2 linked regions of the Rhinolophus ferrumequinum genome follow. The protein of the gene in region 1 binds, or shares a complex with, the protein of each later gene. Links are inferred from orthologs where the notes say so. Each region holds a gene or a part of one and is shown in the gene's direction. Other genes may lie near its edges.

The links.
Region 2: PRPF38A (region 1) and IK share a complex: the UniProt entries of both Homo sapiens proteins name them as parts of the spliceosome B complex. The link is inferred for Rhinolophus ferrumequinum from reciprocal best matches to the Homo sapiens genes PRPF38A and IK.

What each region holds. Positions count from the first base shown.
Region 1 is NC_046292.1:37,401,371-37,409,112, forward strand, and holds the start of PRPF38A (pre-mRNA-splicing factor 38A), read left to right. Parts: upstream 1-4,733; 5' UTR 4,734-4,919; coding exon 4,920-5,049; exon of another isoform or gene 5,050-5,134; intron 5,135-7,386; coding exon 7,387-7,546; intron 7,547-7,742. UniProt on the Homo sapiens protein: Involved in pre-mRNA splicing as a component of the spliceosome.
Region 2 is NC_046307.1:15,183,128-15,190,629, forward strand, and holds the start of IK (protein Red), read left to right. Parts: upstream 1-4,488; 5' UTR 4,489-4,610; coding exon 4,611-4,626; intron 4,627-5,066; coding exon 5,067-5,133; intron 5,134-6,198; coding exon 6,199-6,291; intron 6,292-6,792; coding exon 6,793-6,852; intron 6,853-7,502. Other genes in the region: TMCO6 (transmembrane and coiled-coil domain-containing protein 6), read left to right, coding at 192-326, 538-649, 764-950, 1,090-1,184, 1,558-1,725, 1,973-2,086; NDUFA2 (NADH dehydrogenase [ubiquinone] 1 alpha subcomplex subunit 2), read right to left, coding at 2,575-2,666, 3,965-4,071, 4,198-4,298. UniProt on the Homo sapiens protein: Involved in pre-mRNA splicing as a component of the spliceosome. Auxiliary spliceosomal protein that regulates selection of alternative splice sites in a small set of target pre-mRNA species. Required for normal mitotic cell cycle progression.

The sequences.
Region 1 (7,742 bases):
TTCTTGTGGAACTAAAATTGGACAAAACTGGGGTGAAAAAATTTTTTTTAAATACAGTCTGACTCAATTACTCTGAATTACTGATAAGGGGACCAATAATTTCCGTCTATGTTGAAAACAACAGAATTAGAATAGCATGTTAACATCCTGATTAAACAAGCTGGTTTCCTAAAGTTCAGTAGCATTATGTCCTACATTCTACTTGGTAACATTATAACCCATAAGATTTTCTGCCTTTAAAAAAGGTAATTTTTAGTTTACTTTGTGGAAACTAGTTAGCAAAAAGAAGGGAAGATACTGAGTCACGAGTAAATACACAGATTACAAATGATGTCTGAATGATTGCTATTAAGAACATCAAGAGTATAATTCAAAATAGAGTACTTTTAAAATCAATCTATTTTCAATTAAGTACATTGTAGAAATGAACAAACAGCAAAGAAGATTGATGAGTAAAAACAAGTAGAAGACTTGTGCTTACGTAAAAAATGAATTTGGATTCATATAATCTTTTGGTAAAAGTTAGTAAAAGTGTTAGATTCAATAAATGTTCAAGGAAATATATAACACTAACTTACCTTCAATATATGTTCCTTTTAATGGTTCATGTAACACAGAACTGTTCAGAAGTAAACTTAAAACTTTTCACCTTTCCTCGATGAATCAGGCAAAATAGATGGATACAGATAAAAGATGCAAGTAATTCAAAGTACTCACTAAGCTCTGTCATTTAAAAAAAAAAATCGAAATATCAGGGAGAGTGTTTTATGGCAAGTTGGTATCTCTCAGCAAACTTTCTACAACTTTTAAATAATCTAACTGTAAGATAAATGGCCTGATTTGTCACTTTGACTATGACATTTTGTTACACTGGCACAATGATCTCATTTTTTCAAACCAAAAATTGGCATACAGAAGGACTACCTCCATATCAATAAGGTACTCACGCATCAAATACATCAAATACATACTCTCAATTCTTCTAAATCCAGATCATATTTTAGCTTAACAAAGCAGGCATCCTCCTTCAAAACCAAGTCAAGATAAAATTTAACATTCCTTTTCTAGATCATGAGCTGTGTTCAATGAAACCAGTACAGTTCCCACTCATCCTCAGGGGATACATTTAAATACCCCAGTAGATGCCTGAAATCGTGGATACTGAACCCTATGTATACTGTTTTCTCCTATACATACATACCTACGATAAAGTTTAATTTATAACTTAGGCACAGTAAGAGATTAACAACTAATCATCAAACGGAACAATTATAACAATATATTGTAATAAAAGGTATGTGACTGTGGTCTTTCTTTCAAAATAGCTGGTGACCAATCTGATAAACGGATCTGGCTAACCAGTTAGCACATATAGCATAGACAACATTGGACACAGGAACGATTCAAGTCCTGAGCGGGATAGAACAGGAGGACGGCTCAAGATTTCATCACATTACTCAGTATCATGTGCAATGTAAAACTTATGAATTTTTATTTCTGGAATTTCCCATTTAATATTTTCAGACTGCAGCTGATGCAGGTTAACAAACCTCGAAAAGCGAAACTGTGGATATGGGGGGACTACTGTGTATGCATATATGCAAAGGTGGGTGATTCACCCTAGGCTGAGCAGGCAGGGGGTATAGAAAGAAGACTATCTGGGTCTGGACTGCACAACCTGCTTCAGGCCTGCTTTTCCAAATCTCAAACAGACCAAGGCTGTTAGTGCCCTCAGACTTAGGCAATTGCCGTCCTCTCCTCTTCCTGCAAAGATTTGCAGGGATGGCTCAGGGCTCAACTGCGAGGAAAATCCTCAGAGAGGCCTTCACTGATACCCAATGGAAAGTTACCCCCCCACACTTTATACTGCCCCTCGGGATCGTGTTCCATTATACCACGTTATTATCAAAGCAATAACCACTATGTTACTTTATTTATTGTATTTCCCACATGAGAATGTTAACCTCCAAAAGAGCAGGGATCTTGGAACCTTGTCTGTCTTGTTCATAACTGTGTCCCTAGGGCCTAGGTTAGGACTTGGCTCGTAATAGGTGAATGAAAAAGTGAATGAAATGAATGTAAATAATTAGGACAATACCAAATGTGGTAAGGATGTAGAGCAGCCAGAAGTGTCATACACTGCTGCTGGCGGGCGTGTCAATTGGTAACACTACTCTGGAAAATTGGAGGTATCTATTCAAGCATACCCTATGATCCAGCAATTCCAACAGAATACACCCACAAAAAAACACATCATCAAAAAACATGAGCCAGAATGGTCATAGCAGCATTATAAAGCAATGAAATTAAACCAGCTACAACTGCACACAAAATGGGGAAAATCTCACAAAATAACAATGAGCTAAAAAATCAGCAAAAGAATACACACTATATTGACTCCATTTATATAAAGTTCAAAAAGAGGTAGAAGTAAACTCTGGTGTTAGCAGTGAGAATAGAAGGTAACCAAGGTAACTGAAAAGGTGCACAGTTGGGGACGCGGGGTGCATTTGAGATGCTGGTCATGTTATTTCTTGAACTAGATGGTAGTTACATAGGTATGTTCTTTTTAAGAAAACTCACTGACATGCTATTTCTAAAACTGGCAGATTAGCTCAGAGATTATAAAGTAAAAAATTTAAACAATTAAAAAATGCATTGAGCTACACATTTCTGATTTGTGTACTTTTCTGTATGTATGTTAAAGTTCAAAAAATTAATCAGGAGTCCTTCTGAAGCGGCAGCATATGGAAATCATAGTAGATGTCAGGCCTCTTTGTATTGTTTTTCACTTTCTTACCCTCCACCCAGCATTTCATCCCATCCACCATCAGCAGAAATAGTCCCCAAGAGGCGTGATGAGTGGGGTGGGAAGACAGACCTGATTTGGCCTAGCAAAGGCTTTGGCTTCCAGGAGATACCCACTACAGGCTCTCAGGATTGCAGATACCAGATATCTGGAACACACATACTACCCAGCCCAGGGGTCACACCCAAGAAAAACAGGTAAGGGAGTTGCAGTAAAAATAATGATAGCAGATGTTTATTGAGCCAAAACTCTTGCTAAATTTATCTCATTTAATCCTCACAATAATCCTAGAACAATGCTAGTACTTAGTACTAAGTGCACATTGGCACTCAATAATAAATATTTGCTGAATGAAAGGTAGATGCCATTATCAACTTCAAGATGATAACTTGTCCCAATGTTATACAGGATGGCACAGTCTTAATTCAACCCCTGAGCAACCAGATTCCAATGACTGCTCTTAACCACTTCATCTTATGTTACAGTATATAATGTTAAATATATGCCTGAGAGAACTTGCTTCTGGTGTGCTTATTATAATAATTCAGGCTTTCCAGACACTGACTGAGGGAACAAATGGGTCTCCATTTCCTTACCCATAAAGTGAGATAATAACAGAAACTTCCTTTTATTCAACCAATATTTATTAACCTCCCGCTGTGTGCCAAACTCTGCTCTAGGATTACTGGGGATTAAGTAAAAAAATGCAAAATGGTAAATTCACTCCCACTTCCTTAATCCCTTGCTCTATTTGGAAGAGGCAGTAGGTTCTTTTTATTTTACTAATTTGATGAATGTTATTAAACTCACATATAATTCACACAAAAATTTTGCATTCATTTCAGGGGATTCATAAACCTTCTAAAGTCCACAAGCACCCAGTACCCATTTTTACAGACTATTAAAATAAAAAACTAACATATTTAATTATTGCAGGTTTACAGATGGCGCACCAGGATAAGAATCTTGCATCTTATGCCTAAACCCAGTGCTTTTTCCAACTGTCAAAACAGAAAGCCTTGGCATTCTAGGGTTAGAAAGTAGAAAAGGCGTCATTAGAGTTCTCTCCTGGAAAGGTGGAGTGGATGAGTGACCAGCAGTTAAGAGCAGCTCAACTGGAAAAAGACCTGGGTAGGAGCCCAAACCGCTCAGCCACAAAAAGCGACCTAGACCTGATCTGTCTCCAGGAGCAATTGCTACATCCGTAAAATGGGGTAATAACTTCTACAGCTCCGACTTCTCGGTGGTGCTTGCTACACTACGACTCAAAGGAGGAACAGATGCGATGCTTCACAAGGGCAATGCAGATAGAAGGGATGATTAAGATCATTACTGAGAGTCTCAGGACGCTGAAGGTGGCAATGCTCATGCTTCCATGCTGTTGGCTTCCGGCTACCCCACTGAAAAACTTGCAGTCCCTGGTGTAGCGAGAAGACTTTCAACATTCGGGATGTGGGAAAGGAACGCTCCTAATGGGCTTAGAACAGTGCCTGGCACTTAACGGTGGCTTAGTAAATATCTGCTGGATGAATCAATGACTGAGTCTACAAAGGACAACTTCCTCAGTTCCCGCGGCTCAGGTTCCCCTCCAGCCGGCCGGACGCCACACTCACCGGGCGCCGAAACTTCCTGAAGCTAGGCGCAAGCCCTCCACTTCCCACAGTCTCCGCTTCAGGAGCTCGTGGAGCTGCAGCAATTCTCACCTGCTCCAGATGGACTCCTCTTGCAGCCACCGAGCCGCACGCCGGAGCAGAAGCCGGCTCCTTGCTAGGAATGGAAAGAAGGTGGAGAGAATAAAATTTCGCGCCAAACGTCGTGGCCCCGCCCTCAGGCTGTCTCCACGTTCCGTCACCAGCCAGCCCTCCCGTCCCGCCCACCTAATAGAGTATGCATGACGTACGTACGTCAACGTGCAGCGTCCATCATTGATACCATCAGCGACGCCGTTTGCGGAAGAAAGTTCCTTACGCTGCAGCATTTCCGGTCTCAAGATGGTCGCCTAAGCTTTTAAAATGAGAGTTCTTCCGCCTTTCTCCAGTTCTGATTTTTTTTTAACGTAGATGTGACGTACTAAAGGACCCGACGGAAATAGAACTGGAGGCGTTCTAAAATGGCGAACCGCACAGTAAAGGATGCGCACAGCATCCACGGCACCAACCCTCAATATCTGGTGGAGAAGATCATTCGGACGCGAATCTATGAGTCCAAGTACTGGAAAGAGGAGTGCTTTGGGCTTACCGGTGAGTGGAAGCGCACTGACTCCCCATCGGCCGCTTTGTGGCACAGTTCTCCTGTTTGGGCGCCGACGGGACTGACCCCCTGAGGGTGAGACTGGGGGGGAATTTGTCATTCAGATTCCTGAGCGCCTACTATGTGCCTAGACTTGTGTTGGGCTTTGGGTACACAGATAATAGGGCCTTATTCCGAAAGGTGTCTCGGTTGTGTTCTTTGAATCATTTCATGTTTAATGATAACTTGGTGGGTTCCAGTGTTAAGTTCGGAAACCCGGGAAGGCATTAAACGAAAGTCAACGTGACCAGAACCAAATCCATGATCTTACTATCCCTAAACTTGGACCATCTGCAGTATTTCCATGTTCGGGTCCTAATATAATACCAGTTCTTCAGAGAAGCCTGCCAGGTAGTCTTTTCATCTTTGTTGGAATTCTGGCTCCTCTTTTTAGTAGCTCTGTTACTCCAGTGAGCCGTGGCTTCCTTGACTGTGAAACGAGTATAATAATACCTACCCCCGCCTCCCGCTCCCTCAATAATTAAATGGTGGTTCTAATAATTAAATGCAATAATGTATAAAAAGTGTTTGGTATGATTACAGGTATATATTGATAAAAAGTAGTCAGTGATCAATGGTAATGGTGGTGCTAGTTTTTTTTTTTTACCAGTGTTAAATACGGTATGTACTGTTACTGTTGCTGCCACCACCACGAGCTAGGATTCCATGGATGAAGCACAGTTTCTCGTTCCATAGTTCTTTCCTTGGATGATCTCCATAACATAGTTACATCCTGTACATGTAGATGCCTTCAAATTCATCTCTCCAACACAGATCTTTCCCTGAGATCTAAATCTAATTCCAAGACGTGCCAACTCAATATGTCCAAAACTGAACTCAGGACTTTTGCCTCCAACACTAGATTGTATTCTCTTGTGGTATATTTTCATTGCATTCTGTGTCTTCTTTCAACTCATCACACTTTCAGTTACTTTTTCGATGCTTTCTGCCTTGCCAGACTGTAAACTCTTTAAGAGTAATAATTGTGTCCCTCTTTTTTATCCCTCTATCTGTATCTCTAGTACTTAACACCCAGCTATAAGCTGTCAACTGTAATGTTGAATGAATTAATACAGAATTTATCCTAATTTGACGTCTAGTATATAAAAAGATTTCCCATTAATGGTAGCTAACATTTATTATTTGCTGTTTGTCATGTAAGCATTAGCATTTATTTGAATTGTCTTCTTTGATTCTCACTATAGCTCTTAAACTTTGTACCTTTATTATTTAAATTTGAACTGACAGGCCCAAAGAGAGGTGAAATGACTTGCCCTAGTTCATTTCACATAGCTAGTGTTGATTTTGACAACAACATTGAAAGGTTATTATTCCCATTCTGTAGATGAGGTTTGCTTAAGGTTATGTAGCTATTGAGTTGTTATTGTTTCTTTTTTTGAACTGAAAAAGTAGCTTTGCAGTCGATTTGACATGTTAGTAACTCCACAGGATGCTCTGATCATAAATTCTTAACTGGGCAGTTCATTGTGTGTAGTCATGCCCCAGGATTGTAACTTCTTTAGTAAAAGGTTTATCTTTGCCTGAAGCAAGCCCTGTCTATGGTTGGCATCTAGGTTAACACAGCTTTGAAATGTCAGAGTAATCCTCTTTTTGGGAGCACATAATCTTGTTAACTATTCTGTAATCCAATCATAGAGATTCCCCCACCTTGCTTTCTCCCACACTTCCTTAGTTCTAAATGTATAAAAAGAAATGTGAAACTCATTCTCCAGAGCAGTTGAGATTTTTTTTGCTTCCCAGCATATCAGTTTGGCTCAAATAAACTCTTAAACAAAAATTCTCTGCAGCTTTGGACGTTCTTATGTTGACACTTCTAATTCCTAATTTGGCAGTTTTTCCCCTACATGATGGTGACAAGTGTGGACTCTGAAGTTAGACTGCTTAGATTTAAATCCAGGACTTGCTGCTTTTTGGCTGTGGACCTTGAGCAAGTCACTTAACCTTTCTTAGCCCTCATTATCCTTAGCTGAAAACAGGGACAGTGCTGTAATTTACTTCATGGCTTATTGTGAAGATTAAATGAGATAACATGAAATGTTTAGCAGAGTACATGGCAGGTACTCAGAGTACTCCACAATGCATGATCATCTGCATTTATTATTATTACTATTAATACACACTTGTTCTCCTAATAGTAAACTGTTGATGAGTATTCACAGCACCAAACCTTGAACTAACTTCTCTCCACTTCAAACTGGGGAAATCTTAGCCCTAGTATATCTGAGATGCCACTCTATTTGTTTTTTTTGTTTGTTTGTCTTTTTTAGCTGAACTTGTAGTCGATAAAGCCATGGAGTTAAGGTTTGTGGGAGGCGTCTATGGTGGCAACATAAAACCAACTCCCTTTCTGTGTTTGACCTTGAAGATGCTTCAGATTCAACCGGAGAAGGATATTATTGTTGAGTTTATAAAAAATGAAGACTTCAAGTGAGTGAAATGTTGACTGGCTAATACAAAAGCTTCAATTTCACTAGTCCTGAATTTGGCTTTGGTTAAGAGGAGTGATAACATTGAATCTCATTTGCATAGAGAGTTCCACTCTAGGATTTTGCTGTTGAACTCTTGAATTTGTATTTTGTCTATTTTGATTGTATTGATCATCTTTACTTTCTCAGTCTTGGTA
Region 2 (7,502 bases), on another chromosome or scaffold:
TATCTCCAGATGTGCAGGCAGGGTTGACCCACTTGGCAGTAGCCCCTAGATGCGTGATTCTGTTTCCAAAGCTGTTGCACATTTAACTCCGTGTGTCTGGCTGGGAAGGGCTTTGGGTTTAGACACTTTCCCACCTATTAGGGTTTGGAAAGAGCGACTGGCATCTTGCCTTCCATGGTTCCTACTCACAGCTCTACTTCTGCTGGCAGCTCTGTCCTGGGCTCCACTCTCCCCCAGCACATGCTGCAACTGTTGCAACCTGGCCCAAAGCTGAACCCTGAGGTCGCTGTCGAGTTTGCCTGGTGCCTTCACTATATCATCTGCAGGTAACGCAGAGGCCAGTTGGGAAAGTGCCACAGACCTCCCCCAGGGCTCCTTTCATGACACTCGGGTTTTTGAACTTGGGTTTCTGGAATTGTGTTTTCTTCCTTCCATGGTCTTCTCTTCTTGGAACCCAGGAAACCCACACACCTAGGCTGTTTGCCAACTTAAAGGTGGGATTGGCTGAGTAGTGACTACTTGCTTCCTATTGCCCAGCCAGGTGAACAATGCCCTGCTCATCACCCATGGGGCTCTGTCCACTCTGGGGCTGCTGCTCTTGGACTTGGCGGGGGCTGTCCAGAGATCCGAGAATGCAGGACTGGAGCTGGTAGGTGAAGAGGACAGGTCCAAATCTCTGCTACCTTTCTTCCTACTCTGCTCCTCCTCCAGGGTGCAGGTAACCCCTTCTAACTTAAACCTGATCCCCAACTTGTTGTTACAGCTGGTGTGTCCTGTGCTCCGGTGTCTAAGCAACTTGCTAACAGAGGCTGTAGTGGAGGCTGTGGGAGGGCAAGTGCAGCTCAGAGATGAGCGTGTTGTGGCTGCCTTATTTATCCTTCTGCAGTTCTTTCTCCAGAAACAGCCCAGCCTGCTTCCTGAGGGCCTCTGGCTCCTTAACAACCTCACCGGTATGCACCGTAAAGTCTGCTAGGCCTAGATCTTGAGATCCTGGGAAGACTTCCTTGTGGCTTGGGCTGAGGTGGGTGGAATTAGGAAGGGGTGGTTTCAGGCCTCAATTAGACTTCACCCTGACATTTTCCCTTCCAGCAAACAGCCCTAGCTTCTGTACCTCCTTGCTTTCCCTGGATCTGATTGAGCCCCTCTTGCAGTTGTTGCCAGTATCTAATGTGGTGAGCGTATTGGTAGGTATTGGAGCCATCCGAGTCTAAGGTCTAGTGGCCCAAGTATAAAGAGTGGGAGTTCAGAAGTGCCCTTAGCTGAGAGCTGGCAGCTGGTACGTTGTGGATGGCTTCAGAGTCTGACCATTCTGGGCGTGAGTCCCTAAACTGTGGTTTACAAGTTACTAACCTCGGGCAAATCAGTTAACCACCTTATCTTTAGTTTCCTCATTTATAATTGGGAATAGTAATCCTACCTGAGGGTAGCTGTGTAGATTACAGAACATGCATATGCATATAAAATTACTTAGCACAGTGCCTGGGGCATGTGGTCAGCACTCCATATATTTTTTGCTGTACTTGGCTTTCATCCTCTGTGGGGACATACTGTCTGCAGGTGCTCACAGTTCTGTGCAACGTTGCAGAGAAGGGTCCTGCTTATTGCCAGCATCTGTGGCCAGGACCCTTGCTCCCCTCCTTGCTGGAAACGCTGGCCTTCTCTGACACTGAAGTAGTAGGCCAGAGTTTGGAGCTGCTACAACTGCTATTCCTCTATCGACCAGAGGTGCGTTTCTGGCCCTGGGCGCTAACCCCCATTCTGAAGCCTCTGGTCTCACCATCTCATCAGTCCTAACTATAGTCACTTTTCTGGGTCTGGCTAGCCTATGTGGGCTCCGGGTCTGAACCTCCACCTTCTTGTTGGGAATGCACCTCTCCCTAGATAAGCCATTAGGGTAACCCATTAGGCTGTGGGAATTGAGTGTTAGGGCATAGGGACCCAGGTGTTGAATCCTTTTCTTCCCTATCCTCAGGCTGCCCAGGACTTCCTGCAGCAATCAGGGCTGCATGCTCTGGAAAGGCATGAGGAGGAGGCCCAGCTCCAGGATCGAGTGCATGCTCTCCGGCAGACAGCTCTTCATGGGTGACGTGGCTCCTCCATGTCACTTACTCCACTCCTTCCTGTCCACCCCCCACCAGCTTCCTTGCCTAGGGAGCCCCTTTTGGGGGTTAGGACCATAATGAGGCATCATGTTCTCTGCTCCCACACCTAAACCTAAGCCAAGGCCTTTGGACCCCAGCTCCTCTTCACCTGGCACTGTCTAGGCAGAAGGACCAGAAGGAAATCAGTATGGCCCACTTATTCTGGGGCCCTGGAATCTCTTTCTCCGTTTTGGTTTGCTCCAGCAGCTGGCGGCTTTTGATGGGACAGAATAAAGTTTTATTTTTATAATAAACTGCTTTGCCTCAGTGGTTGTATGATAAAGGGTAGAGAGTGGAATGAGGAAAAGCACATCCTGAGAGCATCTTACAGCACAAGCTTTATAGAGAACAGAAGAATACATTTTTCCATTGTAGTCAGTGCAGCAGAGCCCACCCAGGCTGTGGGGTTGCTGCTCAGTCCTCAGTGGAAGCTTCAGGCTTTGCCACTTAGCACATTCTCCAGGGCTCTGGTTACCTGATCAGCACTGAAGTTATTCAGAGAGACATTCTTTTCTTGGCCAAATGCTGGGGAGAGAGGGAGGTCACTAAGTATCCACTCTGCACGTGGGGCTACCAAAGTATAACAAGTCTTTGTCATCAACTTATAGATTGGAAAGGTAGTAAAGGTATGCCTAGAATTTATCCAGTGGGTCTCAAACACATCTAGGAAGGCCAGGTCCAACTAGAACTTTGGCTGATTGTGGGTGGCCACATGGTAAGGAAGGTGTTTCAGGGAAGTTTCTAGGGGCTCGGTAGGCATTTATTATTAACCATTGATTGGAGCAGTGCATGGAAGCCTTGGCTGGTGCTCATTCTGTGGCTCCCATAGTCCATCTAGGACAATACATTAGTTATTTGAGTCCATCTCCTCTAGTCTACTGGCTTTTGTTAAGAGAACCTTTTTCCTCCTCCTGTTTTTAGTGCCTGGTATTTCTATAGACCTCCACTGTTAGAACCAATCTGCCTTAGGTGTGACTCCCCTCTTCCTCCAGACATTCTTTGGGCAAGATGTAGTTAAAAGTGGTGAAAATACCACTAATACGATAAACATTTTTTGCCTGCCTACTATGTGTCAGGCAACAAGATAATTTTCAGATTGCGGTAAAATGAAAGGTAATATGATAAAAAAGGGTCTGGGGGTGATGTTACATAACTGGTCAGGGAATACCTTTCTGAGGAGATGATATATAAGCTCAGAGCTGAATAATAAAAAGTCAGCCATGGATATCTGGCAGAAGTGCATTGTAGAAAGGGGGAACAAAAATAAAGGCTCAAACCTGTTCTATCCAATTACATAACCTTAGGTATGTTCTGTAAAATTTTTGATTCAGGTTTCTAATTTCTACAATAACACCCCCTCATATAGTGAATGAAGATTAAATGAGATTTAGGCAGCAAAGCACCACAGTCTAGCAGTAAGTGCTCAACACAATCATTATTTTAGGTTTTCCTTATTGAGATTGTAACACTACCTGGATCAGCACTGCCCAGGTAGTGCCGGTCCTTCCAGACGTGGAAGGACTTACATTGAAGAGAATTGACCAGCATCTCTTCTCCCATATCGGAAACCTGTTCTGAATTACAAAGTGACAGCTCCTGTCCCTACGCAGGACCGGGCCCGCCTCCCCACACTGTTAACCCAGGACACAAAGCATTCTATAGCTCTAAGAATGTAAATTTCCTTATTGTCAGCAAGGTCAAAAGCAAGGCCGAAGTCTGAGTTCCAGTCTCCACACGTTTATGCTTGACCTTGCGCGGCCCTTTTTCTTCTCAAGTCCTTGTTTCCCCACGGGGGTCCCGTATCCCCCGAGTCCGGCACTCACCGTAGCGGGCCCAGAGCTTCGGCTGTACATCGGAGCACTCGCGGATTAGGATGGGTAGGTCGGGGTTCGCCTTCTTCAGCTCCACATAGCGTTTCTCGATGAAGTCCCTGCGGGGCCGGAGAAAGCGCCCCGCGCGTGCTGTGTGGGCGCGGGCCTCCCCAAATATCTGGGAGGTCGAGGTCGTGACCCCGGCGCCCCGAAGCCCGCCCGCCTCACCACGCGCTGCTCCTCACCTGACGCCCTGGCTGCCCGGCGAGCGCTGGCACAAGTGGATGCGAATCTCTCGTAGGGCCAGCTTGGCACTCACCCCTCGACTCGCCGCAGCGACCGCCATCTCTGCTGCTATCTAATCCCCTGGTCAGGTCTTCCAGCCAAATTCTCCAGAAGGACCAATCGCGGATCCTCCAGGCCCCGCGATAGGTTGGTTGAGGTAGGGGGCGGGTCAAGTTTAGCCAATGCCATAAAAGCATTGTAAGGCACCAGTCGCGTTTCCTCCAATTTCGCGTCGGATGGGCGGGTTCCGAAAGGCTGCGGAACGCAAGGCACTGTGGGTCGCTTTCGGAGGTGCATTGTGGGGAAAAGGCTGTCGCTACCGTGTTGTTGTTGGAGTCTCCGTCCTAGCTGGCGTTGAAACACCGCGGACGAAATGCCGGAACGAGATAGTAAGTCTCAGGTTATCTGCCCTTTCTACCCTGCGGGACTCGGGACACTTGGCGGGTTATTTTGGCCTCAGAACTTAGGCCAGGGTGGAGAAGGGCCCGGAGTGACGCTTGGAGCCTGGAGAAGCCTTTGGGCCCCGAGGCAGGGCGGGCAGCTCCAGACTCTGTCCCTAATCCTCGTCTTTTCCCCGAGTGACGACAGGTGGGGTTTATCTGTGAACTTGACCCCTCATCCCCCTGCCCCATATCACTTAGTCTTGGGTTGCGTCAATTTATCTTTCACGTAGTATCTTAGATGTCATCTTCAGGAAGTCTTTGCTGACCCTCCAGCGCTGGTTTAGGGGCCCCCTCCTGTGGACTCCCTACTATTCACTGCTATATCCCCAACTTTTGCATGGGACCTCACACAAAAGAGATTGATTAATGTCAATTCATTTTCTTAGGCGAGCCGTTCTCCAACCCTTTGGCCCCAGATGGCCACGATGTGGACGATCCTCACTCCTTCCACCAGTGAGTGTTTTGATCTAGAACCATGGCAATGAGTTGGGCAATGAGTAGAGTGGTGGAGGTGATGGTAAAAGAATTCTGAATGTCTCCTCAGCAAGGATGATCAAAAAAACTTTGTACTACTTCCCCCTTTAACTGGATCAAGTCAATTGCATAACAGTATTAGAGGGGAAATTCTGGCATGGAGAGTGCTAGTATTTAAAGTTGATGTTTAATTACACATTACATAGGAATTAATTCTTGTAGAAAATGAAAACATCAGAAATAAGGGTAAAATTCGCTTTGATCAACATCCCCAATTCCGGTCCTGTTCTTAGAGGTAACCATTGTAACCTTTTTCATGTGTAACTTTTCTCTCCCTATTTTTTTAATGCATTTATATACATACATGTATATCTGAGGAAAATATCTCATTGCTTCGTGAGTTAAAATAATTAAATTAAATTAAATGGTGTTATATTGTACGTATGTTATTTGGCTGCTTGCTTTTTTCTTTTGCTAAGACCAGGCTCAGCAGGCCAATGAAGAGGCCCAGTTGGAAGGGGGCTAAACGGAATCTGACTAAAGTTTGGTCAAGGAGTGAGTCCTTGTCACTCTTGTACTAATTAAAATTATCTCTTGTACTATCAATGCTATCTGCCCCACATTTAGAAAACACTGTCACAGATTATTTAGTCTCCAGTTAATGGACATTTAGGTTGTTAGCAAGTTTTGTTTTCAAAGCTATAATTGAACCTCCTTTTTATACACATGCCAGTAATTGGTAATGTGTAGATGAATGGAGTTGCTGGGTTATAGGAAATGCACACTGAAATTTTAATAGATATTGCTAACTTGCCCTCCAGTAGGCTATGCTGACTTACATTCCCATCAGCGGTATAAAACCTTCCCAAATTCTTATGCATACTTAATTTATCAAACTTTTTAATAACACTGATGCATTAAAAGTGGCATGTCTTTGTTTTAATTTGTAGTTCCCTGATTTCCAGTACAGTTAACCATGTTTTTTACATATTCCTTTTCTAGTTCTTACTGGGTACTAATTTTTAAAATCTTTGTGCCTTCTAGATCAAAACTCACCAATGAAGACTTCAGGAAACTTCTCATGACCCCAAGGGCTGCACCTACCTCTGCACCGCCCTCTAAATCACGTCATCATGAGTAAGCTTTGGGGTGATTCAAGCTGTCTCCCATCTCATTACAGAAAATCTACTAATCTAGATGTCTTAGGAACTGGAAGGCTAGTTCTTTTTTGAAGTCTGTGGTTCTGATTCTCTTCCTCTGGAGATTGAAGCTCCAGTGGAGACTGGCATGTTCTAGGGTCTCACTTTTTCTCAGAGTATGTTCCGTGGACCACTTGTACTAGAATTGCTACTGGTACTTAAGTGGGCAGATTTCAGGGCCCATTCCAGTCCCCACAGACTCAGATTCTGGGACAGATATTTGGGAATACATAATATTAACAGTCTTTCAGGTAGTTGTGATGCTTTCTCTCTAAAGTTTGAGAACCACTCAATACAAATATTGACATGGATCTCTGACCTATTGAAACTGTTGCTTTGGTCAGTGTTCTAGACCTTTCTTCAGTTCTTAAGGCCACTTCTTGGGATTTCTGGGGCTGTGGCAATATTTTACTAATATTTGCTAATATTTCTCTTCTAGGATGCCAAGGGAGTACAATGAGGATGAAGACCCAGCTGCACGAAGGAGGAAAAAGAAAAGGTGAAGGAAGGATGGAGGACTGTTGGGTTTTAATGTGGATAGTGTTTGTGGGAAAGGAATAGGGGCTAGTTATGAGGCTAGAGACTGAGGTTTTCCTTTATTCTCTAAAGGTTTTCCGCTTTCATAGTGGACAGGAGTGATATATGGAGTGGCCGTTTAAGGGTTTGAAGTCAGTCTGTGGTGTTTTAATCTCATCTTGACCAGTTTCTAGCTGGATAACTTTGGGCATTTTGCTTAACCTCTCTAATCCTCAGTATTCTCCCTGGTAAAAAGGAGATAGTGATGATAATTCTTAGCAGATTGTCATGAGGGTCAACTGTGATAATGCATGTAATGTGATAGTGCCTGGCAGATAGTAACCACCGAATAAGTCTTGGCTGCCATCATCATCATTTACATGATACCAAACTTTCTGGACCTTTACTTTGCTTTTTCCTCTCTTCTTGGGGAGGACCGGCAAGGAACAATTTATTTTTTGTTGAAACTTGGAAGGTGATAAAAAAATCAGATGGCTTCATGGTTGCTGTAGGGAAAAGTCTCATACCTGTAAACACTCAATGATATAGAGTTGGGTGGCATTAACGAATTCTAAAGTGACAGATGGAGTGCCCTGAGGTAGCATTGGAACAATGTATCTGTGAGCCGGAAGA